Linked DNA regions of Alligator mississippiensis. The protein of the gene in region 3 interacts with the protein of the main gene of each other region in a biochemical or structural test. Links are inferred from orthologs where the notes say so. Each region holds a gene or a part of one and is shown on either strand. Other genes may lie near its edges. The genes, in order: RFWD3, ATM, RPA1 and RAD51.

Region 1 (7,911 bases), on a different chromosome or scaffold from region 3:
CATGGCCACCAGGGGGCCATCCCTGGAGCACAACTTGCTACAGATGCACAGTGTCCAGTCCAGTGAAGCTGATACTTGAGAATTACCAACTCAGTGCTGGTAACACTGGCTTCAGCAGGGATGCTGGTGTTTGTACAGCAATCTTTCCATTTGATGTGGAGGATTTTCCAGAGGCATTGTTGATGGTACCTCTCTAGGTTCTTGAGATGATGATGGTAGGCCACCCATGTTTCACATCTGTAATAGGAGGGGAGGGGTAATGGCTGCATTGTGGACCTGGATCTTGGTGTCTTTCTTGAGATTGCAATTATTAAAGACAAAAAAATGCAATTTCCCAAAGGAGACACTTGCACTCCAGATCTTGAACTGGATCTCCTCATCAGTGTTCACTCTCTGAGAGAGGGGGTTACTGAGATAGGGGAAGTGCTTGACTATTTCCAGGGTCTTTCCCTCAGTGATAATTTCATGGCCTACTGCAGGCTGATAGACTACTTTAGTCTTCTTGATGTTGAGAGACTCAAAATTCAGTAGGCTTCTCCACAGATCCAGCGTGGTCTGGAGGTTGTTCTCAGTGTGCACAAGGATGGTGCAGTCCTCAGCATATTGAAGGTCAGTATGGTTGTTTTGAGGACTCTGGTCTTTTGAGTGAAAACATTCCAGATCTATGCAAAGAACCACTTTGAAGAGTGGTCTCATTACCCTAGGGGTGATTCATTTTCAGTTCGGGTGCTAACAAAAAGTTAAAATATTTGTATGCTGAGAAAGCTGAACCAATGCCAAATGTAACAGTCCTGGTTTTTCTCCAGGTTTACCTTAAACCTTACTTACCCCTTTGTGGTCAAGAATGTTAATGTTAGTGCATTTTCATGAAGGTGAATACTTCAGAAAAAGAGCTTTTAAGAAGACGTATACCTCAAACTTAAGAGCATGCCACACAAAATTAAAACCCTGAAATTAAACAAGTGCTACAGCAAACAAAGATTTCTTACTCTTCAGATTGTTGTTATCCGATGATACGTTTGTAGTTAGATTCATATCAGACTAGAATTCTACTGATGGCCAAACTTCTGACTTCAATTTCCAGATCAAAGATGGCATTGTCCATTTCAAGGATGGCACCTATGTCCCACATGGTCAGTCATGACTCCAAAATATTTGAACTCTGTTATGACCCATCCCTTTTTTGTCACTTTAAAACATTTAAGTAGGTGCCCCAACATTTCTGGTGGCCAAGGATATTCTTTAATAAGGACACAATGTGAAATGGCATTTCCCCTCATGCCATTAACAACCACATTTCAACCTGGGATATTCACTTCCATCTATTTCATTTGTTGACCTCCCCAGCTCTGAAGACAACAGCTGTTCTAGTCATTGTTCAACTAATTAATGTTATATTTCATCCTAGAGTCCCTACCTAAGGAAAAGGCACAAACCTGTTTGAATGTTTTCTTTCAGACCTCATGATTTACAATCTAGCATTGCTACCAAGAGGCAAGTAAAGCAGTTTTAGCATCAACTTATGAAACTTCTGAACACTGAACAGAAATAACATATTGACTCTTCCATAAGAGCTTATAGTAATTGGCTGATGTGATTGCAGAATTGCTGGCCATTATATTTGAAAACTCTTGGAGCTTGGGGAGGTCCCAGATGATTGGAAAATGGCAAATATAGTGCCCATCTTTAAAAAAGTGATGGAGGAGGATCCAGGGAACTACAGACCAGTCAGCCTTACCTCAGTCCCTGGAAAAATCATGGCACAGGTCCTTAAGGAATCCATTTCTAGGCACTTGGAGGAGAAGAAAGTGATTAGGAATAGTCAGCATGAATTGACCAAGGACAAGTCATTCCTGACTGTCCTGATTATGTTCTATAATGATAACCAGCTCTGTGGATGTTTGGAAAGCAGTAGGCATGATATACCTTGACTTCAGCAAAGCTTTTGATATAGTCTCCCACAGCATTCTTGCAAGCAAGCTAAGGAAGTATGGGTTGCATGAATGAACTGTGAGGTGGATAGAAAGCTGGCTAGATAGGTGGGCTCAACAGTATCAATAGCTCAATGTCTAGATGGCAGCTGGTATAAAGTAGAGTGGCCCAGGGGTCCTGGGGCTGATTTTTATTCAATATATTCATTAACAATTTGGAAGATGGGATGGAGTGCTTCCTCAGCAAGTTTGTGGATGACACCAAGATGGTGGGAATAGTAAATATGCTGGAGAATAGGGCTAGGATTCAGGGTGACATCAACAAATTGGACTGGATCAAAAGAAATCTCATGAGGTTCAACAAGGACAAATGCGAAGTCCTACACTTAAGATGCTAGGATCCTATACACTGCTACATGCTTGGGACCAACTGGCTAAGAGGCAGCTCTGAAGAAAAGGACCTGGGAGTTACAGTGGACGATAAGCTGGATATGAGTCAACAGTGTGCCCTTGTTGCCAGGAAGGCTGTCTCAGACGGCCAGAGCCAAGTTGAGGTGATCTACAAATTGCTTGGCCGTTGGGTGGGCTGGTGAATGGAGAGGCAGACAAAACGTATTGGTTGCAAAAAGGCTTTACTTATGCCGCTAGTAGCCGCGACGCAGGTGGTCCGATCGCTTAAATAATTACACGAGTTGCTCCAGCTGGCAAAAACCCAGGCCAGCGAATCTGTAAACGAACCAGGCATGCAGGAAAAGGGGTACGTCGAGGGATAGCATTCGGCGATGGGGAGAAAAATCGATAGTTGATCAGGCTATCGATTCGCTCTGCCACGTCAGGAATTCTTTTAAGTCACTCTGCAGCATGCTCAAAGTTCTCCGACTTGGGCGGAAGTCGCACAGAATTTTATACGGCTAACAAGCCAATCGCTAGCCGCCACATAGGAATAATTTAGAATCAGCCAATGATAGGACACAAATTTGCATACAAATGGCGGGAACTCTCTTGCACCAGAGTTTTCTATTGCAACAGAAAACTTTTGCTGTGCACAGAGACTCTCATGTGGCGAGAAAAATTCCATTGTGCCGAGGCACTTAAAATCATTGGGTTATGACAAAGGCTAACAGCATAGTGGGCTGCATTAATAGGAATATTGCCAGCAGATTGAGGAAATTATTCCACTCTATTTTGCACTGGTGAGGCCACATCTGGAGTATTATGTCCAGCTTTGAGTCCTCCCCTACAGAAAGGACGTGGACAAATTGGAGAGAGTCCAGTGGAGGGCAATGAAAATGGGTAGGGGGTTGGAGCACATGGCTTATGAGGGAACTGGGCTTAGTCTGCAGAAAAAAAGAGTGAGCAGGGATCTGATACCTGAAGGGTGGTTCCAAAGAGGATGGAGCTAAACTGTTCTTAGTGATGGTAGATGACAGAACAAGAGCAATCGTTTCAAGTTGCAGGAACGGAAGTTTAGCTCAGTTATTAGGAAAAACTGTCTCACTAGCGGGGTGGTGAAGCACTGGAATGGGTTACCTAGTGAGGCTGGTGGAATCTCCATCCTTGGAGGTTTTTAAGGGCCAGCTTGACAAAGCCCTGGCTGGGATGATGTAGTTGGGGATGGTCCTGCTTTGAGCAGGGGGTTGGACGAGATGACCTCTTGAGGTCCCTTCCAACCTTAATTTTCTATGATTCTAATCATGCAGACCAGCAGCATCAATCAGAAGGCACCAAGTTTTGCTTTTGGCAACAGGGTATGGCTGAAGACAGAAACTCATCTGCATTTAACCTTCAAGCAAGTTGTGCCAACAATAAATTAGCTTATTCAAAGTCCTTCAGCAAATCATCCCAATCACTTTCAAACTATAGGAAGCTAAGTACATGAAAATGAATCCAGCAACTCCCTCTCCTTCCTCTGTTTGGTCATTGCAGCATTGGAGGTCATCAGATGCTAGCTGTAAAAAGGGGTTTGCAAGTAGCCCATTAGTCTCCTTCCTTTGCTGCTGCCTTGTTTGGCTTAGCAGAACAAAGGCTGAGAGGGGATGTGATTGTTCTCTATATACAAACTCATCCAGGGAGTAAGCACCAGGAAAGAGTCAGAAGATATAGCCCACGTGCCAGATCTGACCCATGGTGGCCTATCATCTGAATCATATTGCTGCCCGGGGGTCTCAGATTGGACCAGGGTTGCAGACTCAGACTGGTTTGTGCTGTATCATATCTGCTGCATGGGCCAGATCCTGCACATATGGAGCTAGGTCCAGCACTTGCACTACATGTGACGCGTGCTGCCTGTAGTGCTTGCACTGGAGCAGCCCCGTGCTCTGGATCCAAAGTGCAGAGCTGGTCTGTGGGCCGGCTCTGGTCCCCCGATCAGCCCCGCTACTCATCCGACCGTCTCTGTGCGACTTACCCAGCCTGTGGGGCTAGATGCGTTTGATATCCCTGCTCTAAAAGAAACGTAAACCAGAACACATCCTTATAAACTCATCGGAAATATATTTGGCCTGGAATTCGGAAGTTCTCGTAGCAGCGTGAAGAGCGATGTTGTCGCCGTGACAGTCCCCAGAACACGTGAGGCGAGGACTCCTGAGGGAGACATTTCTTACTAGACCAACTCCGTAGCTGGTACAATAACAGGGCACACCTCAGAGATCCTCGTCTCCTCGCAGGCAAGTGCAAGAGCTCCCCCCGCCCCGCCCGGCATTTGAATGCAAGCTTTCTCGCGCCTTTTACCTCGTCAGACGGCTCCTCCAATGAAAATGCCCTTCCGGGCGCTGTGTCCTGCCTCCGATTTTGCTGATCGACAGGCAACTCGCCAATCATAATTGAGCGCTGGGGCATCATTTCTGCCCCGTGCCGCCGCGTCGCCTGTCTGGCCAATAAAAGTAGAGTGTGTGAACCTCCCCTCCTCCTTCCTCTCGGCCCCTGGCGAACGGGCCGCGTCCGCATCCAATAAGAATGCTCATTGCGACGGCGGGCTGTCCAATAGGAGAAGGGGTTGCGTTGATGGAGGGCTCAGCCCCTCAATGAGGTGGCGGGGCGGGATGTGAGGCCGCGGCGGGAGGCGATGGCGGCTGCGGCGGGACGGTTGGAGCTGGCGGCCGCGGCGCGAGGTGAGCGCGGGCTCGGCCCGCACAGACGCGCTGCTCCGTCCCGGCCGCCCCCTGCGGTACTGCGAGGGGCGCGGGATCCTGCGGGCAGCGCCCGGCCGAGCCGCCGGAGCCCGGCCCGCGCACGGTGTCTGTCTGGTCTCCGGGGCCGGTTCGCCGCTTTCTTGCGCTGCCTCATATTGACGCGTGCTGAGATGAGGTGGATGCGGGCCAGGCTGGCTCCCCCTTCCCACCGCTGTCCTTTGCCCTGAGGCAGTGCTGCGGGTCGGCTCTGCCTGCTGCAGCCCCAGGCAAGGAGCACGTAATGGCTTCTGTCTCTCTCACCAGGATGTAGCAGGGGTGGCAGCTCCAGCCGTAGCTGACGGCCAGGGCTGCCAGCGCTGTGCCGGGAGCCAGCATGTGCTCTGTGCCCTGGGCCAGAGTCAAACCCAGAGCCGCAGCTCGAGGCATGGGGTGAGGGGCAGACTGCTTGACTCCTCCAGCACTTGCCCTCATGATGCTGCATTGCTCATTGTAGTGGTGGGGGAGACAAATTTAACATGACCCTCCAATAATGAAGTTTTTCCACATATGGGAGGCATGGGCAACGGCAGGATGCTGCTACCTGCTCAGAAATGCAGGCTGTGCAAGGCTCCGAGCGGGGGTGGGGGCTGGGCCCCAGCTGCACTGGAGCAGGCAGCAGCAGCACTGGGAGGGGCAGCTATGGGATGGGCTACAGCCATTTCATTTCTCTGTAGCCCCTCTGCCCAGCACCACTACCATCCACTGCAAGTGCTGGGCTCTTCCCACCTCCTGAGGAAGAGCCCAGAACAGCCTCCAGCCCCAGGCGCATAGCGGCAGCCCACCTTCACCCCGCACGCAGATCTGGGGGGGCACCTGCCCATGCCCCCTGGATGAGCCATGGCTCTGTCCCATATCCTGCCTCACCCCGACCCTCTCCCTCACCAAGAGGACCCCAGTTGCCTGTCCCCCCCCAACAGACTTACTGGCTGAACAGTACTGTCAGGCTGCACTCCTGGCTGTGTGCATTAGGGCTCTGAAGCTTCAGTTGCCGATTTGATTTGGAGGAGATTCAGCCCGATTCGGCAACCAAATCTCTGAATCCAAATCGAATCAGGAGGCCTATTAAAAGGTCTGAATCAAATCCAAATCCTCTGAATTGATCATTGATCCTGATCGACCAGGGAGAGGCAGGCACAGCTGGGCGGCTGCAGGTTCTCCTGTAGCTCCTTTGGCTGTGCCTGCCTCTCCCTGGGCGGGGGGAGCCATGGGAGAAGCCCCCATGGCTGTCCTCCTCGGCCCCATCCCCTGCACTCACTGGCTGCAGGAGCAGCGATTGGGGCCTCTGAGGACTTGTGGCAGAGCCCCCCTGCGCAACAGGGGGCAGCAGGGATTGCCTCCCCACACACCTGGCACCTGTGGGGAAACTCCCCAATGGTGTGTGTGCAGTGCCGTGTGCTATCTGGGAGCTGGGGCCGCTGGGGCTGAGCGCTGCCAGGCTCCGGCTGACTGCTGGAGCTACCCCAGCTCCCAGACAGTGCGCACAGGGAGCCACGCTGCTCCCGTGCAATGCGACAGCTGCCACGCAGGTGCCAGGTGTGGGGAGTGATCCCTACGCTATACAGGGGGCTCTGCCACAAGCCTTTAGAGGCCCTGGTCACAGCTGCTACAGCCAGTGAGTGTGGGGTGCTTTTTTTTTTTAAGTGCTGGGAGGCTCGGCCAGGCGAGGGATGTGGCTGGGCAGGGCAGCTATGGGGGCTTCTCCCATGGCTCCCCCCGCCCAGGGGGAGGCAGGCACAGCTAGAAGAGCTGTGAGAGGGCTTGTAGCCACCCAGCTCTGCTTGCCTCTCCCCAGCTGATCCGAATCTCCAATTCTGATTTGACCAAATTGAATGGGGACAGTGATATGAATCACCGAATTGAATCAGTGTCCTCCGAATTAGCCAAATCCGAATCGAATACTTCCTTATTCGCGCAGACCTTGTGTGCGTGCTGCAGCTGTGCACACACGCGTAACATTTATCAGTGACATTATCAGCCACATCAGCCAAAAAAGGCTGATTGCGTTTAATGTCAATTTTCCTTTTTTCGATGTCGATACCATATAGACTGATATATCAATGTACCTCTAATGTCTATTCATAGATTCATAGATGCTAGGGTTGGAAGGGACCTCAATAGATCATCGAGTCTGACCCCCTGCATAGGCAGGAAAGAGTGCTGGGTTCAGATGACCCCAGATAGATGCTTATCTAACCTCCTCTTGAAGACCCCCAGGGTAGGAGAGAGTACCACCTCCCTTGGGAGCCCATTCCAGACCTTGGCCACTCTAACTGTGAAGAAGTTCTTCCTAATGTCTAGTCTAAATCTGCTCTCTGCTAGCTTGTGGCCATTATTTCTTGTAACCCCCGGGGGTGCCTTGGTGAATAAAACCTCACCAATTCCCTTCTGTGCCCCCATGATGAACTTATAGGCAGCCACAAGGTCGCCTCTCAACCTTCTCTTTCGGAGGCTGAAGAGGTCCAGGTGCCTCAGTCTCTCCTCATAGGGCTTGGCCCGCAAGCCCTTAACCGTACGAGTGGCCCTTCTCTGGTCCTCCTTCCTCCCCTTCTTGAAAATGGGGACCACGTTGGCCCTTTTCCAGTCCTCCGGGACCTGGCCTGTGCGCCACGACTGCTCAAATATTACCGCCAGTGGTTGCGCAGTGACGTCAGCCAGTGCCTTCAGTACCCTCGGATGGAGCTCATCCGGGCCTGCTGACTTAAAGGCATCCAGTTCCTCCAAGTGACCCTGCACCATCTCAGGGTCTATCTTATTCACAAATATTCATTTGTATTTTTCACCATAGTATCTGAGAACGTTATGATACTTTT
Region 2 (7,454 bases), on a different chromosome or scaffold from region 3:
ATTTGTTTATGAGAAGGTCATACAGGACCTGGTCAAAAGCACTGCTGAAGTTCACTATATCAACAGCATTCCCGTCATCCACCCACAGAGTTACACTGTCAAAGGAAGAGATCAAGTAAATCCACGCTGACTGCTTGTGATCAACCTTTTCTCCTCTAGACGCCTGCCAGTGGACTTCCTTAGGATATGTTCCAGTAACTTCCCAGGTATTGAGGCGAGACTAAGTACACTGTAGTTTCTCAGGCCCTCTTTTTTGTCTTTTTTCCGGTCCTCTGTTACCTCGCCCACCACCCCTAACTTTATAAATATTATTGCTAAGGGGACCAAAATCTCCTCTGTCAATTCCTTTCATACCCTGGGATGATGTTTATCAGACTCTACAGAGTTGAATTCATTCAGACCCAATACTCTTTATTAGGTGTCTGGCTCCAGCTTAAATGTTTTTATGACATCTAAAGCAAAGAAGCATTGAGTAGCTCCACCTTCTTTACATCTTCTGATTAGAGTGCCCCCCTCCCTGTTACTTAACAGTAGGCCTACAGCTTTCTTGATCTTTCTTTTATAGCCCAAATACTTATAGAACCTTTTTGTTGTTTTTCATCTCCCTCACCAGGTGCAGCTCATGCTTTATCTTTGCCTACCTGATTCTGTCCCTGTAGGTTCTTACTACTTCCCAGTAAGCTTTTTAGGTGACCTGTCTAGTTTTCCATAGCCTGTACGCTTTCCTTTTGCACTGGATGCATCCTAGAATCTCCTTGTGCTGTCACATTGGTCTCTTGTCATTTTTCTTGCGCTTTCATCATGTCAGAACAGTTTTTTGGGGGTTTCCAATGCTGTGCACTTTAGAAGCTCTCAGCCCTCCTGGGTGCCTTTCTTCTTCAGGCTATCTTTCCAAGGAACCATGCCTATTTGCTCCCCGAGCTGGGTGAAATACACCTGTTTGAAATCTAGCATCCTACTTTTGCTGATGCCATGCTTTCCTCATCTCAGGACCTAGAATTATATCAGATTGTGATCACTTCCTCCCAAGTTGCCCATCACCTTTCACATCCTCCACCTGTTATTTCCCGTTGGTCAAGACAAGATCCAAGACAGATGAGCCCCTAGTTGTATCCTCTACTTTCTGGAACAGAAAGTTGTCTTCCACACAAGTTAGGAATTGGCTCGACATTTTGTGTTTGGCTGTATTGTTCTTTCAGCAGATGTCGAAAAATTAAGTTTCCTATCCCATAGCTTTTGGAGACACCTTCTCTTCCTGATTTTGTGGCCTACAATAGATCCACACCATTATATCAGTGCTGCATCTTTCACCTTTCCTCTTCACGCAAATCCATTCTGCTCCGCTATCTTCTTCCTACTGAGTCCAGCAACAAGCGTATGTTTTTGACATAGAAGGCAATACCACTACCTTTTTTCCCCAACCCCATCATTTCAAAACAAAGGGTAACCCCCTCAGTGTTGACATCCCAGTAATAAGAGGTGTCCTGCCAGGGCTCTGTGATACCAATCAGGTCATAGTTCTTTTCACAGGCTGCAGTCTCCAGCTCTTCTTGTTTCTTCCCTATACTTTTTGCATTTGCATCCACACATCAAATGTATTTTGTATTCTGACCTATTCACTTCCCTTCTGCACCACTTGTTGCTGTCCTGTGACTCACTAGTGTCTTCCCCTCTGCACTATGTGGCTTTTTTGTTCACCATCCCCGCTGAACCTAGCTTAAAGCCCTCCTTACTAGATTGGCCAGACCATGTCCAAAGATGCTCTTTCCAGTTCTGGTCAGGTGGATCCCATCTCTTGATAGCAGGCCCTCTCCCAGAACATCTGCCTGCTGTCAAAGAATCCAAAGGCTTCACATCAACACCCCGGTCCCAGCCACATGCACTTCCAGGGCATGATGGCCCCTGCTTGCCTTACAAAGAGAGGATCAACCAGAACGTCATTCGTGCTCCCAGATCATTTATCCTCCTGGCCAACTTAAGTAACAGATTGTAAGCATAAGCACATTTGTTGTCACATGTATCACCTCAGACCATTGAGCAAAAAGATAAATAAAATAATGATGTAAAATCTGCGTTTTCCCTCATTTTGTGCTGATAGTTATTTTTTTGTAAACCTTTGAGATTAAACAGACAGACAAACTGGTTTGAGCCAAATCAGTTAAGTCTGATACTACACTCAACCAGGTTTTTCTCAAACTGGTTTATGTGCCCTGAACGTCTGTTCTGTTATAGGTTTAAACCAGTTTCTGATCACTTAAACCAGTTTAAGTGTAATGTCTGTCCCTAGCCTAAAAAAGAACTAGTCCGGTTTCACATCTGCCCCTTGTCCATTTTTGTTCAAGGTTCTGGAGAAAGCCGAAAACAATGATTATTATTGGAAAGTTTTCAAAATCATGTAAATATTTGTGTCCAGCTTAAAAACACTGTTGTCAAGAAGCCAAATTTAGAAACACCTCTTTAACTGGCAGAATTTACCTGTCAATGCCCTTCATGGGGGGGGAGGGGGGGCGAGATTTCTGGCAGAAGTGACAAACGAACACCACACCCTCCCCTCAGCACAACACCCTCCCCGGAGAATTAGCTGGCTGCTCTTTCTGCTCTTTGCTCCCCACCCGACCTGCTGCTCTGCTTTCTGCCTCCTTCCCTGCGTGCCCCCGCCCCATCTTCTGCTCTGCTTTCTGCTCCCTACCCTGCCTCCTCCTGCGCTGCCTGAGCCCTGTGCCCGCTCCGCCAGGGCCGCACGCACGTGCCACAGGCGGCCTCCCTGGCTCGACTTACACGAAGTCCGAGCCGCTGCCAGAAAGAACCGCTAACGCACCCGCCAAACCAGCTCATCAAACCCTCCCCGGCCTCGCACCCGCTCAAGCCGTCAAGCCGCGGCGCCGTGCAGCCGTGGGGAGCGCGGAGGCCTCCCCGCACTGATGAGCGGCCCGGCCGTACGAGCGCAGCCTTAGTCCGGCCCCACCGCTGCCACGCGCCGCCGCGGGCCGTTACCGCGGCAGCCCCACCCGCATGCGCACTACGCCTGCCTCGCAGCACCAGCGCCAGCAGGGAGGGAGGGGTAGTGCCGGAAGCGGTTGTGCAACTGCGGCTTCCGGCGGAAGGGGCGGGGCGGGTTGCGCGGGTGGCGTTTCCGCGCTCTGCGTGTGGTGCGCGGGGCGGCCGAGCTGCGAGTGCCGCCGCCCGCTGGGGCCATGCTGCTGCCGTCCGACGTGGCCCGCCTGGTGCTGGGTGAGTGCGGCGAGACTCCCTCAGCGCGGCCTGTGTCTGCCTCCGCGGCCTGGCCTCAACCCAGAGACCCGCCCCGCCCCGGCTCCCTGAGGCCTCGCGGTGCTTTGGCCCTGTGGGGAACCCGGCGCTGCCCGGGGGGCTGTGCGGCGTCGGGACCCGCCCGCGTTGTCTCCTGGAGTCTGAGGAGAATAAAGGGGGCGAAGGAAACGAGCCGCTGGTGCGCGGGCCGCCAGGAGGCGACGCGGGGGGGAGGGGTGCAGCACTCTGGCTGCGCCGCTGGGACAGAGCCGGCCAAGCACAGGGCAAAGCCGCTTCCTCGAGCGGCAAGTGACATGATTGAGGCTGCCGACCCCCACAGCCTTTCTGGCTCTGTCTCCACCTTGCAGTTGGTCCAATGAATGATCGTCCCTCCCCCAAGAAATCTGCTCTTCTCTCCCCCCCCCCCCAGCATTGCTCTGGCTGCCAGGCCAATTGTGCGTTTTCCTGTGAACTGGAAGACCAGCTTGAGAGAGCCTCCTCCTACCACGGGCTGGGAGCCTGCACCTTCGAAAAACATGATTGTGAGGTTCAGGGCTTGTGGTAGAGGTGATACCTTTTATTAGACCAACAAGAATTTTGCAAAAAAAAAATTCTTTCATTGCAAGCTTTTGGGCACAAACACCTTTCATCAGGCATTGGAGAAAAGATTGTAAAAGTTCTTTTGGATAGGAATGAAAGTTCGTATTTCATAGGATTTCACAGATCACAGAGGAGTCCATAGATGAAAAACTCCTCTGGGCAGGCAGGTCTTAGCTGGCTAAGAGTCTCTGCCCTCTTTTGTGAGGCTCTGTGATGATGCAAATTAGCTTGAGCAAAAGCAAGAGCAGTGTTTCAGGTGGTCACAGTTGCTTCCTCTTTGGGGAAAATATGAAGATTTAATTTCAAAATCGGCTAAAATTTGATAACTTTCGTGTGTCAGGTTTTGCAAAAATCTTGTTGGACTAAAAGATATCACCTCTACCATGAGCTCTGATTGCTTTTTCCTCTATACCAATATGGCTATAGCCTGGATGCCCGCTTGTGGGTTAGCATAACAGTAGAAGGCGGTCACTTTAAAACGGTTATTTTGGGGGATTGCTGCATTTCTGACAGAGCCCTTTAACTTTTTCAATACAAGAATGAGAGGCCAGGAATTGAAAAGTCATAGGCTTCAAACCTATGGAGGCATTGTAAGCAGTGCGTGTAATGAGACTTAATTAAAGTTGTACTAGATCTTATCTTCTGTTGCTCATGGCTTGGCCAAATAGGCTCAGTTTTTCCGAAAGGTGCATTTGCCTCCAGCTGGATCATTTCTAAAGTCCTGTTTGAAATGCTGGAGCTGTTTCAGAGAGCTGAGTTAGGTGGGGAAATCTATTGCTTTGGTTATATTAAAAAATAAAACTTACAAACTATTAATCTGATCTCAAGAATCTCTGCTCATTTAGCATCTCATTGCTACCTGGCTGCTACCCTGTGATGCTGTGAAAATAAACTTATTAATATTTGTAGAAAAACTAAAATGAAACAGCAAAAGCACTGGAGAAAATTCTGCAAGAAAATTAGGATTTTTGTGGGTGGTAGCTGAGGAAGACCTGACAACAAAGGGTGCTGCGGTTCCTAAATCTCCTCCATATCCCTTCCAACTATACAGTTGGTCCAATAAAAGATACCACCCACAAAAATCTTTGCTTCTCACATTTTTCCTGGGCCATCACAGCTACAAAATCACCCCAGCACTATTGCAAATAAATTATTGCCCCTTACGACTGCTTTTGGATTCAGTAAGTAAGGCACAGGGCATTGCACGATAAGGAAACAAAAACACAGAATAGCTGCAAACGCAGAGTGTTGGTCATTCTGTGTGAAATACAGGGGTCTATAGAAAAATATTTTCTGATCATGGAATGAAATAGGAATGCATAATGCATGCACACGAGGGATCAAAGTCATATTTTACAGGCAACATTAGCTTTGGCATTTCCTAACTTCTTGGTGCTTGATTTTGTAATTTGTCTATGTGCATAGCATATATATCCTTAACTGTTGTAAGTCAGAGATGTAAGATATGGTTCTACTTCCTTTGACCCACAGAACACATTTGCAAAACTTAAAAAATGATTGTAATATGTTACATACCAGTTAATCACTTTTGGGACATGTGTAACTTAAACTTCTGTAATGCACAGCATTGAACAGTTAATAGAGTTTTTTGGGGTTTTTTTTAGCTTTCATTGTGCATCAGATACTGAACACTATTGTGGACACGGTGGAAAAAGTTTTTGGTCCTATCTCTTTGTCAGTTCAAAGAATACTATTTTCTACGTGATAATTTGGAGTTAACATGTTTGGTAGTTGAATCCCATAAGAGACATTTAAAGCCAGAGTGGCCAAATCACCAGGGGCCAACCATCTTCAGCATAAAATAAACAACATGCCATACTAACTTTTATGGCTCAGTGGTCTAGAATCATTCATTCAGATAGTTTTTTTCCTTTCTGTTTGGTACCTGAGTTACTTGAATGTTAATATAAAATATTAAAATATCATTGGTTTGAGACTTTTTGGAAGGTGGAAGGAGTTTTTCTGTATATATCATATTAAGGCTGGTGAGAGAGCCCGAGTTGTAGGAGTACCTAAAGTATAGCTGATTCACCAACTAAAAGCAAAGTTATAGCATGGACATGTGTTGCTTTTCCCATGTCTATAAATATCTATAATGTCATCTTTTGGGAGAAAGAAATCATGTAAAATATTTTTATATTGCATTTGTTTTCCGGGTTTGGAACTTCAAAACGTGCACAAAAACACTTGCTTATTGTATGGCAATGTCTTTTAAAGTTTACTGCAGAGTACCATTTTTATTTTAAAACTGGAATATTCAGCTCACATTTGACTTAGTCACTTGAGGCAAGACCTCTATTTTTTGCCTGTAGGGTACTGTGCACACAAATGGTTTCATTTAACAATCATTTCTTAGCTGAAGAGTTATTTATGTACATGTAGCATGGTGTCAGTAAAGCTGTGTGACATTATCTACTGGAGAGATGTGTAGAAAGGTAGCTATTCTTTCAAAACATAACACAACTCGTGTTTTCTTGAGTATTTGTCACTTGAGTGCTTAGATGATTGCACAGTAAGCTTACTGTATTATGCTACATAATTGTATCAGTGCATTGACACCTATCAAGTGTACCTTGTAAAAAAGTGAATCAAATCACATACCTTTGTCTTATTTACTGCAGGATATTTACAACAAGAAAAACTTTCAGCTACCTGTCGTGAGTTTATATTGGAAAGCTCAGATTTAAAAGAATATGCAGAGCACTGTACAGAGGATGGGTCTGTTCCAGCTTGTTTATTGGTAAGTTTATATTTGAAGCACGTGAGATAGAGTTGAACCCTAGTACATTCCAAAATATGTACTTCTAAAATAATTTATTTAAGTTTGCACAGACTTCTATGCTTTCAGAATGGTTGTAACATCTGCAGTGTTCAAGACATTTAAACAGTACGACCGAGTAACTTTTTTTTGGTACCCTGCATAAGGGGTTGTATATGAACAGCTGTTTTTTCCTACATTCTTAATATAACAAACATTGGACATTGACCCAGACACTGACAGTTTTACAAATCTAAGAATAAAATAAGTGAGCGGTATTCATAATGTACAGTTACATGTTTTGTTATTGTAAGCAAGGAATATTGCCTTTGATACATATTTCCAGGAGTTAAGTACTATAGTTATTCAGACAGTTAAATCACTTGTACCTGGTTAGATACCTGATCAAGATGACATCCCTGCTGCAAGCTCTTGATTGAGAACATAACCGATTTTTCTGTTGAATTTGGGATAGGAGGCTTGTCTCAAAATTTAGAAGATGCACTTGAAATGAATATGGGCAAGGGGAAGAAATCTGTTTGCTGTAATTACAGAATGATGTATCTGCTTGTATGGACTCTCCTCAACTGACTTGCACCTTGTAGGAAGAAAGCTTTGGGAATCCCATGGGGGTTCTAGGCAAACTATAGAATGGGTGACAACTCTTGATTCTCAGTGGCCACATCTACATGAGTAGCCAACTGCGCAGTTGTTACTGCTCAGTCATTTAGTACTTGCTTAACCAAGTACTAAATGACTGTGCAGTGATCAGCGTTATTGCGCAGTCCCGTCGCCACATGGTTATTTTTAGATACTACTGCACAGA
Region 3 (7,108 bases):
ACGTACATCATTACCCTCTATTCTCTAAAAGGGACCATTCCTCCCATGACACTGTGCCCCTCTCAAATTTCAACCTTTTATCTCCATAAATGTCAAGGACACCTGTCCAAAGAATATTCAGGCTTGTGTTTCAAATAACACATAATGTACTTCTCTCTACCCAATTTTCTTCTTTAATAACTGAATTTTTTTGTCTCAACTTTCAAAACCCCCCAAAGGGAAAGCATACAAACTGGAAAAAATATCCCACCTGCATGCTGCAGAGATCAAAACAAAAGATTAAAATGGAATCACGTAGGCAAAATTGTATCAGGATTCTATATCCTCCCCCCCCCCCCATGATAATTAGCTGTTTCTTATTAATGGAGTAGTAACATCATGAAAATTCAAGACTTCCCCATACTAGATAGAGACAGAAACTGACTGTTTGGCCTTGGGTTTGTATATTAGAGAGAGACACTATACAAAAGTTCCACGTGCAGAAGAGACATTAAGGAACTGGAAATCACAGCTCTAGACAAGACAATTAGAGCCGTGCAACTTAGGCATACAGTAGCAGTATGTCTGAAAAGACCAGAGGTTTGCCTGCTCGGATGACACCAGGCCTCCCTTAATTTGGGGATGGTTTAGACAGCGACGATCCTCTTTGGAGGACAGAGTGGACAAGATGACCAGCCCTGTTTTTCTATCACTTGAAATTTGACTCCCCTTTTTCACTAAAGTACACAGCTGAAAGACCAGCACAGCAGTAAGTCTCTGAAACAACAAAATGCCTTTGTTTGCTAAGTTACCTACCTTCATTGTATGGCACTGGATCACCAATATTTCCACGAACCACATCAGCAGTTTGCAGAACATCTAACTCCATCAATATAACCACTCTCCTAAAAACAGAACAGATGGCAAGATACTCTACGGTTATCTGTCTTTGTCTGTCATAGGCTGCAAGTTTCTTTTTTGCATATATAAAGGCACTACAATCAGTACAGAATAGATTCCCTGGGGAAGGTAATGTCAGGAGGAAACAGCTTCATTACCCACCGGTTTACAACATTCAGTAAATGCAAGCAGAAATGGCGTGGGCTGAAACAAAACAACCTGAACAGTGCACATGAAACAGAGATGGGATAACGATTATTGCTATTTGCAAAGCCCTAAAAACGGTACCAGATTCCTTATATACTACCTGTCTCAAAAGTGCACACTAAATACAACTATGCATGCAATACAAAAGGCAACTTGAAGGAGAAGAGAAGGGTGGCAGTAAAAGTTACCAAGATTTTGCATGTGCCTGAATTGCGAATAATTCTGAAGTTTTTGTTATTTTGTCACAGACTGCAATGGGGCGTTGGGGGAGAAAGCAGTCCTTTAGGTATGTCAGGCCCAGACAAACTGGTTACAACCAGAACTCTGAATTGCTCCCAGAAAACTATAAGGGAGCCAGTGCCTACATTATGAGAACCCCCTGGATACACCTGTCCACTTCCCCCGGAACGAAGCGCTTGAGCTCCTCCCTTTCACCCGCTCCTTCAGCCAATTCTGTGAACACAAATATCGAAACAAACAAAAATACCTTCCATCTTTCAGGCTGTTAACAATGAATCTGTTCACCTGGCAGACACAGTGGGCAGACAAGCGCTCCTCTTCGACTAGAGAGTTCAGCTGTGTTGCCAACATGAAAGCTGCAAAAGAAAAGAAAAGAAAACCCCTCCGAAAGCTGCTAGCAAGGGACAGTACTAAAATGGCTAATTGCAACTTCTCTACTCCGACAAGTGGCGCTGAATAGACCTAAGGTGTGCACATTATCACGTCAGCCAGCAAGAGTCATTTCCTGGGCATAAGCTGCACGTCAGCCACCCAAAGCTGGAGAACGGACTACAGCGTTCAGGCAGCGATTAACGTAATCAGACACGTAACAGAATGGAAAATGATTCAACCGAGCTGCTAATTCCTCTCGGACCTCAGCGCGCGTAGAAGACTCTGCTAACGACGGAGCTGCTGCCCACGTTTTGGGTGGTCCGCGGCAAGACACCAGAACAAAATGACCGGCCCCAGAATCGAAAGGGACAGCCCGCACCACGCCCGTGACACCCCGGTGTCGGCTCTGCCGCGGAGGCAGAGGCACGTTCGCCCGCGCGGCGTCGCACTTACAGGACAGCGTGTTCACCCCGTCGCTCATCAGCACGCGGTAGCGCGGAGGGCCGCTGCCCGTGGCAATAGCACGCGTGTTCTGCAAGGGAAAGGCAGGGGTCCTCAGCCCTCAACCCACGCTACTTGTGACACACACGGCGAGGTGACACCTCGTCTGCAGACACGAATGGGGGGGGGGCTTTTTTTTGTGTGGCTTTGCCAGCAACTGAAACGCATTGTCGCAGGCCAGGTGCAAGGAGCTGTGCACAGGACATCTGCTCCCGGCCCAGCTTCCCCCGCCCGAGTCACGCCAGGGCGCAGGCCTGGCCCGCCCGCCCCCTGCCCACGGAGCTGCGGCGACCGGGAGCAGGAGGACGCTTGTGCGAATACTCACGATGACTTGCAGCACGGGCTTGGACACGGGCTCGCCCTGCATGATGGCCTGGAGAGGGACGAGAAGGAAGAAGGTCACACCTGGCGCCGCGGGGACAGGACCGCAGCTCCCTTCTCCCCTATGGCCTCCCGCGTCTCTCGGCCCGTCGCGAGCGGGTTTCCCTTCCCAGGGGCCGGGTGGGAAGGGCCCTCAGCAGGGCCGAGCGCCGGGGGTGGCTCGGCCCCCCGCACCCGGGGGCTGGGCGGGGCGTTACACGCGGGCCCCGGCCCAAGCGAGGGGCACCCGCCGGGCACGCGGCCCCTGGCCCGCCCCGGGGGACCCGCGCGCTCCTGCCCGTGAAAGACGAGCCGGCTCGGCCGCGAGGAGCGGGAAGCCCGCGCCCCTCACCGCAATCGCGCCCGCACTCAGGCGCGCGGCCATGGCGACAACAGCCCGCTCCTGCTCCTGCTCCCGCCGCGCCAAATCCCCCGCCCGCGTGACCGGAAGTGCCGCGCCGCTATTGGATGAGATGCCGGAAGTGCCTATGCCGTACGGCGGAAGTGCCGCGCCGCTATTAGCCGGGGTGCGACGGATGCCGGAAGTGCTAGTGCCGTACAGCGGAAGTGCCGCCCTCTATTAGCCGCGGTGCGGCGAGTGCCGGAAGTGCTGGTGCTGTACGCCGGAAGTACCGGTCCGCGGGCAGGCGGCCGCTGAGGGGACATGGCGCTGCCCGCGGAGCCGTGGCGGGTGCATGCGGCGCGGCGCTGGGAGACGCTGGGGCCCGCGTTGCGGGCTCAGCTGTCGGGCGCGGCCCCGCTGCGGTGCTGCTGGCGACTGCTGAGGTGGGCGGCGGGCCGGGGCTGGGGGCGGCGGCGCGGCCCTCCCTCTCCCCGTCCCCTGACGCGCTGTCCCGCAGGCCCGAGGACGAGGCGCTGCTGCGGGCGCTGTGCGGGCGGCGGGGCGCGGGCAAGGAGGCGGCGGCCGCCTGCTTCTACCGCCAGGCCGGCAACGCGCGCTTCCGCCGGGGCGACTTCGCGGCCGCCGCCGCGCTCTACTCCAAGGTAGGCCGCGCCGCCCTTTCCCTCCCCCCCTCCCGGCCCGGCCCGGCCCTGACCGCCGTCCCGCTGCCCGCAGGCCGTGTCGCACGCGGCGCCCGGCGGCCCCGAGCTGCCCCTGTGCTTCGCCAACCGCTCGGCCGCGCTCTTCCGTCTGCAGCACCCACAGGTGAGCCCGCGGCCGGGTGCGCGGGTGGGGCGGATGGTTGCGTGTTTTTTCCCCCCCCCCGTAAAGGCCTTTTTTTCTACCGCAGGCGTGCTTGGAAGACATCGAGAGAGCTCTGGGCCAGGGCTACCCCGCCGGGCTGCAACCCAAGGTCCTGCTCCGCAAAGCGGAGTGCCTGCTGCTGCTGGGGCGGTCGCGGGACGCGGCGCAGGCCCTCAGCGTGGCGGAGAGTCGGGTCGCCGGGGACGCGGGTCTGACGGGCGGTGCGCGCCGCGCCCTGCTGAGCCAGATCGAGCAGCTCCGAGCGCAAGCCCGCGAACGGGAGGGCGACCCGGCGCCGGTGTCCGCGGCGCTCGACGAGGCTCGGGAAGGCCGGGAGCCCCTGGAAGAGAATAGCGACCTCCCGGGTGCGTCTTCCTCCGTGAGCTTGAGCTTCGACGCTTCCCGGGGGCGTCACTTGGTGGCTGCCCGGGGTATCCTGCCGGGAGAGAGCCTGTTGAGCGAGGAGGCCTTTGTAAGCGTGCTCAACCCGGGGGAGCGACTGCTGCTGCCGGACGGTGTTGAAACCACGTGGGATACCAGTATCGCTAACGAGGACCTTTACTGTCACCGCTGCTTAAAGCCGCTCTTGGCCTCCGTGCCCTGCAGAGGCTGTAGCTACGCGAAGTACTGCAGCCAGGAGTGTGCGCGGCTGGCATGGGAGCGCTACCACCGGACAGAGTGTGCCCTGGGGGCGCTGCTGCTCACGCTGGGGGTCTTCTGCCACGTTGCCCTAAGGACGGTTCTGGTGGCTGGGTTTGCAGAGGTTAGCAGGCTGGTGAAGCAGGCTTATGGAAACGACCAGGAGTTTCACGGTGCCGAGACGGGCAGGAAATATGCTGATGAGACGCCGAACTCCAGATCTGGTCGCGAGGGACCGTGTGAGAAAGGGGAGTCCCCGATTCCTGGGTGTGATGGCCGTGGGCAGTACCAGACTTCTTACCAAGCTGTCTTCCATCTTCTGCCACATGCTGAAAAGCACAGCCCTGAACACAAATTTCTTTGCTGCCTGAGCGTGGTAGCGCTGTGCAAGCGACTGCAAGAAGCCGGTCTGGAGGCCACCTTCCTCAGGCAGGGCTCACCTGAGAGCCAGCGCAAGGGGGAAGCGTGTGAGACGGTGTCCGCTGAGCTGGAGGTTCTGGGAGAGGCAATGCTGAGGCATATGTTACAGCTGCAGTGTAATGCACAAGCCGTGACTGGAATCCAGGAGTCAGGTTGGTGAGAAGCCTTCGGCTCTTCTCCCCTCCTGTCGTTGTTTGACTGTCCTGTGGGAGGAATGCAGGTCCTTTAAAGAGTTCCCATTACCCGTGGCTAAGTGTCCCATTTCCTTAAAGCCCTGCGGTCACTTTCACAGGGAAAGGTCTGTTTCACATCTCTAGGCCTTGCACGATGTAGGGCTTGGAGACCTGCTTCTCGCCTGGATGTGGAGGCTAAGCATATGCTTCTTTAAAAATAAATAAATGCATGTCTTAATACATGGCCAGTAGCAACGAAAACAAGATGTTTACAGCTGTGTCCAGAAGGATGAAGTTTAGGAAATCTCTGATTCGTCTTTGAATTTAAATAGGGAGCTGACTATTGAAGATAAATGCTGCATTGTTGGACTGTGAGGGCAGGAACTGCCAAATTTAGTTGAACAGTTTTTTGTTATATTAAGGTGATGAAATGTCTTCTTTACTATCGACTCTTTAAGACTAAGCATAGTAACTGGCATAAAAGCACTGTAGATTTACTTTTGTTGCACTCCCTGATCTGTTTGCCCCCTTTGTGTTTGTGTGTCTAGGGTGTGGAGATGGCACTGTAGTAAACAGGGAGCAAGTACGTCTGGCCACAGCCTTCTTTCCTGTGCTCAGCCTCCTTAACCATTCCTGCAACCCCACCACTAGTGTGATGTTCAGTGGGACAGCTGTCACAGTCAGAGCTTCGCAGCCAATTCCAAAAGGGCAAGAGATTTTCCATTGCTATGGTATGTTATAGTCTCACTTTTTCTGTACTACTTTCCCAGAATAATACGTGTAGGGTACATGAGTCACCTTTCAACTATGACTTCCTTCCAAGATCCCAATTCTAAACAATATTTATACACGCTCACACGTGTGAGCACACGCATCCCCCTCTTTCCCTCCTTCCCCCCGTTATGGTCAGTATTTTATTTCTTTCATATTTTGACAAAGGTGGGGGTGGTTTTAGCTGGTAGTCAGGTACCTAGCTTCATGGTTTACGTAATGCACTCTACTTTTATTTTCTTCTGCAGGGCCTCACAGATGCAGAATGGGGGCTGCTGAGAGACGGCAGCGACTTCTTTCTCAGTATTTCTTTGTGTGTCAATGCCAGGCCTGCCGAGAGGAGTTAGGGTCTGATATCACCTGCATACCATCCACAACAGACACATTCTGCTGTCCCCACTGCCAAGCTTCAATGCAGGTAACTGTTCAAGAATCAAAACTTATGCAACTCTTAAGTTTGGTAGATCCTGACTGCAAAATAACAGTGGAAAGTATGAGTCTGAGTCTAGCACTCATGCTTCTATGACCTGTAGTGCTGCAGAATTAAGGAGGTTCTCATTGTTCTCAAAGAAACCCCTCTGAAAGATTCTGGCTTGGACTCTTCCAGAATTTCCTCGGGGCATGTTTGCCAAGATCCTTGATCCTTGAGATGTTCCCAGGGTCTAGAACTAAGAAGAGGGTATTCACACAGAGACTGTCTAAATTAGGCATAGCATATCCTGTGGAAAGGTGACCTGAAGAATAAGGTGGAGCTGTTGAGTCAGGCAGGAATTAGCACTGCAGGGTTGTATTATCCGGCGATTAGGTGGGTGTCTAACACCTCACTTTGCCTTGATCAACATTGACTCAGTCTGGAAGCTTTGGTGGCGCTGTGCCTACAGCTTCCTTTCTGTTGTCTGGGGAATGTGACACTTGCAAAGGGACAGGTGCTTTTGTTTTAATGTGCAGCTGGGAAGCAGTGCAATGGCCTTGTAAAGCAATTCAGGGGTGCAGAGGTAGAAAACTTAAAATTGCAGCATATTCCACTTTCAGTGCACAGCCGCCAGACTGGAAAAGGCTATGTGCTTACCCTGCGGATACACTTAGCACAATATAATGTAAACAGTGCTGTTGAAGTACTGAGTGCTGGTAGTGATCCGGTATTAGCTGCCATGAAACTTTTGTTCCCTTCACTGGCTCCCCTCGTTGTTGAGACTTCTAAGTTTCAGGATTGCTGTTCTAAGCCCTTGGATGGCAAGTATGCCATCCATTTCAAAGCTTCTAAAAGCCTTTTTTTCAAAGCCTTTTTAGATCTACTAAGTGGTTCATATATGTACCTAACACTTGTTACAATGCAAGC
Region 4 (7,547 bases), on a different chromosome or scaffold from region 3:
TTCTCTGTATTGGTAAATGCAGAAAACATTTAACTCTCATGTCCATTCTGTTTCCAATCTTTACACCCCAAGTAAATCAAATTCATACTGGATTAAACTAACTAGCTGGGAAGGATTGCACAAGATGATTAAGGCCCCTTTTGTGCTCTGTTATAAATTCTGTCTTTTGTGTCCCCGCCCTTAATTGTCACTGGAAGCTTCTGAAAATCTGATCATAGGATAGAAGCACTGTTGATGTTGTGTGTTGCTGCTCCTGTGTTATGTTTTTGCCTTTTTGGTCATTTACATGAGTGCCAAATGAAGTCCTAACACAATAGAATAGGGGTGCTCAACCTCAGGCCTGTGAGACCATGTCATCTGGCCCCTGGGTCTCCCCACACATCCAAAAATTATGACAGCAGGAGAGCAGTGGCAGCATTAATTGTAGCTCTCTTGCTGCCAAATTTCCAGACCCATGGGGAGCCCCACAGGCCAGATAGCATGGTGCTGTGCACTAGATAGTACCAACCCACAGCCAGAGCTGGTGTGTGATGTTGGACCAGCATGTGGTGTCAGGCCAGTATGTGCAGCTGGACCAGAAACATAGATCATACCCATGGACTGACCCTGCATGCCATATTCAACCCATGGACTGGCCATTTACCACCTCATGTGGTCCACATGCCAGAAGGTTGAGCACTTCTGCAATAAAGCAAGCAACAAGTGTACTGATTTAAATTACTGACAAAACAAAGACAACCTGCTTTGGGATTAGATATACATCAGTCCTGAATAGAAGTTAGAGCAGCAAATTTTAACCATGGCTGTGAGATCCTTAAGGAATACCACTGGTTGTGAGGAGATAAGTACATGCTCAGTGCCATTAATAAACTGTCTACAATAAACTAGTTTTCAAAATGGGGTGCTGCTCAATTTGCAAAAGGTATGGAGGGGTCCCTTGAGTGTAACTCCCCCCCCCCCCAGCCACTTGTGCTCACTTGGAAGTGTCAGCAGCACATCTGCGGGATCAGTTGCAGGGGACTGACTAGCTGGCCCGGTTGATGACTGGCTGCTGGGGGGATAAGTGCCCCCCCTGACTCAGGAGGCACCAGTTGCCCATGGCCTCTGATCCTCACTGCCATGCATTTGCATTTTTCACTGACCTGCATTTTTAATATTGCCTTCTGTCCCACCCAGAACACAAAACAGCACTCTCCCTATGCCTGAAGAAGTGTGTTTGTGCCTGAAAGTTTACAAAGAACAATTTTTCCAACTATTTAGTTGGTCAAATAAAAGAGATTACATTTACCCAAAGAACCTTGTCTTTAAACCAATTAATTTCTAAGGTGCTACCCTGCCCTGCCTTCCATCTCTAAATGTACTTCTGAATTCCCAACCACACTCTATCCTTGCTGGTTTAAAATAAACCAGACTCCCCCAGCATCCTGGTATGCTGTCTGGCCTGGGCAGGGCTCTCTGTTCCACAGCAGGACTAGCCCCTCCCCTCTGCTCCCTGGCTGGAGCTCCCGCAGAGACTGCAGACACAACAGGGTCTGCCTGGCTTTACCTTGCCCTATGCCCCCTTCCCCCACTGCTTGCTGTTCAAGCAGGGATTCTCCCCCCTCCCTCTCATCTCCCATAGCAGGGACCCCAGCCCCATGGACCCTAGGCACGTGGTGTGCTAGTTAATGCTGAGAGGTGTCTCTGTGCATCTCTCTCCAATTTCACTGGGACAGGCAGACAGCACAGTGACCACTTAGGGCTATTTGTAGCTAATCAACAGGTCAGCCGGTAAGCTGTTGAAGAAGAGTTTGAAGTAATAGGTCAGGGATGGACATTGCATAAACTGGTTTGAGCCAAATCAGTTAAGTCTGATACTACATTCAACCAGGTTTATATCAAACTGGTTTCAGCCATTTTCAAACTGTTTTATGTGCACTGAACATCTGTTCTATTACAGGTTTAAACCAGTTTCTGATCACTTATTTATAGTTCTAAGACACTTGAAGCTCTCCAGCCTGTCTGGAGTAGCTGCTTCCAGCAATAAACTGCTCTTAACCTTTCCAGCCAAGTGAAAGCAGCTAGGATGAATGGCTTAGGTGTCAGGTAACAGTTGCCACAAATTTACTGTTCTCTCAGCTTCTAGCCATGGGGTCAGCAAAGTTCAGTAATGAGTCTCGTGCATCCATGACCCTTTTCTTGAATTGGGGATTGACCCTTTTCTTGGGTTGGGAATTGCTCAGCTATAAAAGGAAAATAGGCTTATTTTCTAAGTGAGAAAGATTCTAGCTTCTCCTTTCTTTCCTGTCTTCCCTGCTTGCAGCCCATTTCCTCCTCAAGCTAAAGATCTGTTTTCTGTGTTGCAGAGTTTTGTAAATAAATACATTTGCCTCTTGCCTTACCTCCAAGCCTATACCAAAAATAGTGAGATAGGCAAGGCCTCATTATCAAAAATTTACTGTGGAAATGGTGCTTTTGTTTGTACATGTTTAATATGAGTGGGTGATGATCAATAAGCAGGCCCTGCAAGTAGCAGCACTTATGAAATCAGGCAGTTACGATTTTAAGATGACTCCTGCCAAATGCACAACAGACAGTTATGTTAAGCAAGATGACTTAAAGCCTCAGAATTATAGTTAGTAGATATTACCTTTTCAGTGTCACAAGTGTAGGTGCTACGTTACAAACAAGTTAAAGATTTCTCCCTTCTGTTGTTCAGGTGCTAAACTGCAGTGGTATAATACAAATAAATGATGAGATGGAGGCAGGCAGGAACGGTAAATCTCGAGTAGAGAGCAACGTCTTTCAGTCCTAATTCAATACTATTAGGAATTTATGAGAGGAAACCTTATGACATTTTAAAACTTTTAAAGCCTGGTTGTTGGGGTACAGGTGTGTGCTGTTTGAATATATTAAATTCTAGTTCGATTTCTTCAGTTTTTGCCCCAGCCACCCCTACCCCACCTGGGGCAACCTGCCATACAAGGTGCACCACTGCTAATTGTCATCAGGGAACCAAATGTACACACACATGTGGACATGCCCATACAAACTTTAGAATGCCTTGCAGATAACCTAGTTATCTGATGGAGTTTGATCCTAGAGGCTGACTAGATTGTCTCTCAAGTCACAGAAGCTAAAGCTTCTTCTGCTTCACCAAATTATAATGTACGAAATCAAACAACATGATCACAGCTAGACTTCTAAAGGCATTCCTATCTCAAACCAGTGACTGCTGGGATGCACCACAATCCAAGACTACCATGATCAAGCTGGGAAGTTCTCCTTGTGAAACTTGGTATTCTAATTACTGGTATTTGCCAGTCACCAGATGAAGAATATCTTGCATGTGAAAGTTTGTCTAAGTGTAACCCAAACAGGAAGCTGGTTCAATAAAAGATATCGCCACAAAAATCCTTGCCTCTCCTGTAGCTCCTGGACCATTGTGGCTACATTGCTCCAACACTATCACATAAATCTTGTTCATCCTAAAACACATCAGGACGAACTTCACAGTGAGAGTAGCCAGAATTTGGAATGGGCTTTTAAAGGAGGCAGTGCTCTCCCCTACCTTGGGGGTCTTTAAGAGAAGGCTTGATAGGCATCTGGCTGGGGTCATCTGACCCCAGCACTCTTTCCTGCCTAGGCAGGGGGTTGGACTCGATGATCTGATGAGGTCCCTTCCAACCCTAGCACCTATAATCTATACATCAATGACACGTGGGTATTCCTGTTGAACTGCACCCTGATGCGCCTGTCTTGCTTCTTTCATGAAAAATATTTTATGTAAAAAGTATGAATTAAATAGTTCAGGCATTTTACTAGATGTGTATGTGATTTGGTTACTGCAGGAGCCAAGCAGAGGGCCCTTTAACTGGTTCATTTTGATGGACTTCTCTATATTCCCGCAGAAAAATTAGGTATTGGCTGTGCACACAGAGCACAGCTCAGCAGGGCAAAGGGCAGCCACGGGGAGGAGGCTTAACCTGTCCCATCCCACATGGATGCTTTGGTCACCCTCCAGCTCTCCTGTGCAGTATTCATTTTCATTTCCACTTGGGAGAAATGTGACAGTCTTTGCATTCTCCTCTGCCTGAGGAGGCTGCGTGAGCCTGGAAACGTGCAAATAAAGACACGTTTTTTGCAACCGTCTAGGTGGTCTAATAAGAGAGATCGCCTCTACTTTGGTCAATAGTTTTACTTGAATTCAGCCATTTCCCTGCCCCAATCCTAATGCCCTCCCCCCCTCCCCCGTCTTCACAACCTTCAGCTCTAGGCTGGTTAATCAGTTTCACGTAAGGCTGCCCGGCTTGCTCAAGTTCATCCCCGGGAGGCTTCCCTCAGCCTCCGCCCGGCACGGCTCCCCAGCCAGAAGCGCGGCTGCGGCTCCGGCTCCGGCTCCGGCTCCGACAGGAGGGCACGTGCAGAGGCCACTGCAGTCCCCACGGCTCGACGTACCAGGGTCCTCACAGGCGGCAGGGGCGGAGTCACGCGGCCAGGACCCCGCCCCCTCCCGGCGCGCATGGGCAGAGCGAGGACTGAAGCCCCGGCTGCGCGAGCAGAGGCCCCTGCCCACACGCGTCACGTGACGTGGTGGCGGGCTCCTCCAAACCGGGCGGCGGCCGCCAACGGGCCCGAGCGCGCGCGGGGGAGAGGAGAGGAGAGGAGAGGAGGGCCCGGACCCGCGGGGGAAGAGGTCGCCTTGGCCCACGTGAGGAGTTCTTCGGGGAGCCGGCTGTGCGCGAACCGCTGCTGGGCCCCACCCAGGGCTGCTGGGCCCGGTGTGAACGGTGTCCACAAGCCTAATGAGGTGGCGTGACGTCACGGCAGCGCTGTGATGTCAATAAGTAAACGCGTGACGCGTGCCTGGGCCTCGCTTGGGGCCCAACGGGGCGCTGCAGGCTGTGGGGACCAGGGCAGGGTGGAAACACCAGGAGGGGGGAGGTGGTCGCGCCCCCTGTGCTGGGGGGTGTCAGCTCCTCCTGCTTCCCCCCAGCCCCTGTCGTTCCCCCCGGGGCCCAGGGGAGGCCTCATCGCCACCAGGCAGGGACCTCAGCGCAGGGCAGGCAGAGAAGGCTGTGAGCAGCGCGGCTGCTGGGTGGGCCACAGGAGCAGGGTAGACAGGACCTGGGACAGGCATTTCAGTGTCATGCTGGACCGGCCGCCTGAGCGGGGGCTGGGCCACGTGACTTGAGAGATCCCTGCCCACCTTTTTGCTACAGTCCTGTGACGTCATGGCTAGGTCCCGGCTTGGAGGTAGGAGGTGGATCAGCAAGCAAGTGGTGGTGTGAAGCTCTTCCACCTTCCTCGGAAGCGCCTGTTCCTGCATCGGGTGGACGTCGCCTCTGAACCAGCTCGTGGTAATTCTCATGTTCCTGCAGGCACGTCTCTGATTTCAGGTGAGGTAGTCAGTGTGGAGATGCACACATAGCACCTGCACCCCCCAAACTGTTTTTCTGCTGCCATCAGTAAGACGAACTGATGATACTGGCCATGTCATTCATGGAGTGATCTGTTTTCCATCACAAGTCCTTATGTCCTTACCTGCTGCAGATTTCTGTACCCTGCCTCTGCTTGATATTTAACATGTCAATCTAGAGCTACAAAGCCTCAGAAGAAATGTGCAGGGGGGAGGTGCAGATAGGGGGAAATCACTATTCTAGCTTTCTAGCTTCACTAGAACTGGTATTGATACGGTGCAGTTTGGCAGTTAAGTTAGTTACGTGAAGACAGCCAACGTCAAGTACGATGTTGAAGTACAGTCTTGATTCAAATCTTCAAAGTAATCTTTTAATGTGACAAGGAAGCTTGGTGCTACATGGAGGCTCAGATAGTACTGTGTATTACTAAGTAATCCCATAAAGAGATTTTTGATATCTTGTGGTTCGTGTAGATTTAAAAAGTACTTTAGAATTCTATGTTTAATCCCCTGTTATTTCTTATTAGAAGACCTGAATGTTTTTTAGTAAGCTGCTGTGCAGAGAGAAGAGTGCCTAGAAATGAATGATTTATTCCTTCAAAGATGCAAAGAATTAGTATGAGCTGTGTGGGGTGGGAGAGACCTATTGTATGCTATTATGAAGAAGCTGTTAAAGTAGTGTTTGGTTGTGGCACTGACAGAAGAGAGACTTGTTTGAACATTTCTTTTTTCATGTGAGTGTGTTACATGTATCTTTTTCCTTAGGAGGGATTTATTGAAGACCTGGTGTAATGGCCATGCAAATGCAATATGAAGCAAATGCAGATACATCAGCAGAGGAAGAGAGCTTTGGTCCCCAGCTGATATCTAGGCTGGAGGTATGGAATGAGTTACTATCTGAAGAACAAGCTGCCATGCAAGCAGCAAAACAATTCTTCAATGAGAACTGTATTTAGGAGTGGCCACTAGCTTTGCCTAGCTAATTTTTGTCAAAAAATTCCAGTCCAAAGTGTTACAGAAAGCATCAAAACTTAACTTGAGGTGTATTTAATGTGAAAGGTGGACAAATGCTGATCTGTGGTTTGTATAAAGTACATCAAAACAAAAGTAAATCAGCAACTGTTAGCAAAGAGGTTACATTCTGTACCACACCATGCAACTAACTTGTGAATATCCTGTCTGAAGATAGTCTCCTTTTCTTGAACTTGTTTAAAACTTCATTAGTAAAAATTAAAAATCATGGTTATTTACATGGCTTTGTATTACTACTCCTTCTGTGCCTAGATAGCCAAAAAGAGAATCACGTATGCTTCCTATTCCATGTTATTTTTGGTACTGATAATGACCTGCACAAACAGTGCATAGTGTAAAGGAGAATTCATAGGGGGAGGACAGTCTATTCAGCTATTTTTTGGGTGTAACTGAATGAGGAATTCAGTATTCTTTTCCTTGATCCAGTCCTTACAGAAGACAGTTGGAGGGTTTCTAGGCTTTCAGTATCTCTTTCAAAACACTGTACCTACCATAAGTATTTTTTTATTCCTTTCAGCAATGTGGTATACATGCAAACGATGTGAAGAAGTTAGAAGAAGCTGGATTTCACACAGTTGAGGCTGTTGCTTATGCACCGAAGAAGGAGCTACTTAATATTAAAGGCATCAGTGAAGCGAAAGCTGACAAAATCTTGGTAATTGCATTTGGATGAAAGGTTTATGTACCTGTAAAGAATTTCAGAACTCTGCAGCTACTTACCACAATTTTATAAAGTGACTAGCAAGCTTTGAGAGGCTCAGTGTTTTGGATATCCAGCCTTTTCTGAAATGAGGCCCCTTTAAAACACCACTAGTTGTACATCCATGAGTGCTAGCTGCTTTTTCAAAACCTTGGGCCATTTTATACCTACTTAGAAAGATGGGTGGAGGCAAGAGAGACGAATTACGCAGATTTATTGATACTGAAGTAGAATCTGATTGGTTCCTCAAGTGGTGGGGAATTAGCATTATCACTGACTACTAAGATTGTTGTCCTGGAAAAATGATGAAGTCTATAACTTAGAGAATAAAAATGTACTAAAAAGGCACACTGTCATAATGCTTTTATTGCTAAATTGAAGTCATTTTAACAATACTCTGAAGTGTTTGTTTATTAA

What was found.
Region 1: the proteins of RPA1 (region 3) and RFWD3 form a complex in vitro, tested with the Homo sapiens proteins (3 studies listed by BioGRID, with this or other methods). The link is inferred for Alligator mississippiensis from reciprocal best matches to the Homo sapiens genes RPA1 and RFWD3.
Region 2: the proteins of RPA1 (region 3) and ATM form a complex in vitro, tested with the Homo sapiens proteins (3 studies listed by BioGRID, with this or other methods). The link is inferred for Alligator mississippiensis from reciprocal best matches to the Homo sapiens genes RPA1 and ATM.
Region 4: the proteins of RPA1 (region 3) and RAD51 form a complex in vitro, tested with the Homo sapiens proteins (2 studies listed by BioGRID). The link is inferred for Alligator mississippiensis from reciprocal best matches to the Homo sapiens genes RPA1 and RAD51.

Annotation. Positions count from the first base shown.
Region 1 is NC_081833.1:40,708,356-40,716,266, reverse strand, and holds the start of RFWD3 (E3 ubiquitin-protein ligase RFWD3), read left to right. Parts: upstream 1-4,901; 5' UTR 4,902-4,995; coding exon 4,996-5,041; intron 5,042-7,911. UniProt on the Homo sapiens protein: E3 ubiquitin-protein ligase required for the repair of DNA interstrand cross-links (ICL) in response to DNA damage. Plays a key role in RPA-mediated DNA damage signaling and repair.
Region 2 is NC_081824.1:436,970,265-436,977,718, forward strand, and holds the start of ATM (serine-protein kinase ATM), read right to left. Parts: upstream 3,011-7,454; 5' UTR 2,819-3,010; exon of another isoform or gene 2,779-2,818; intron 1-2,778. Other genes in the region: protein NPAT, read left to right, coding at 3,195-3,231, 6,492-6,610.
Region 3 is NC_081837.1:557,771-564,878, reverse strand, and holds the start of RPA1 (replication protein A 70 kDa DNA-binding subunit), read right to left. Parts: upstream 3,019-7,108; 5' UTR 2,945-3,018; coding exon 2,912-2,944; intron 2,573-2,911; coding exon 2,525-2,572; intron 2,231-2,524; coding exon 2,152-2,230; intron 1,683-2,151; coding exon 1,574-1,682; intron 885-1,573; coding exon 796-884; intron 1-795. Other genes in the region: SMYD4 (SET and MYND domain-containing protein 4), read left to right, coding at 3,224-3,345, 3,420-3,564, 3,638-3,727, 3,813-4,977, 5,547-5,729, 6,018-6,187. UniProt on the Homo sapiens protein: As part of the heterotrimeric replication protein A complex (RPA/RP-A), binds and stabilizes single-stranded DNA intermediates that form during DNA replication or upon DNA stress.
Region 4 is NC_081825.1:240,951,066-240,958,612, reverse strand, and holds the start of RAD51 (DNA repair protein RAD51 homolog 1), read left to right. Parts: upstream 1-4,539; 5' UTR 4,540-4,690; intron 4,691-4,696; exon of another isoform or gene 4,697-4,789; intron 4,790-4,809; exon of another isoform or gene 4,810-4,826; intron 4,827-5,201; 5' UTR 5,202-5,378; intron 5,379-6,163; 5' UTR 6,164-6,189; coding exon 6,190-6,276; intron 6,277-6,947; coding exon 6,948-7,085; intron 7,086-7,547.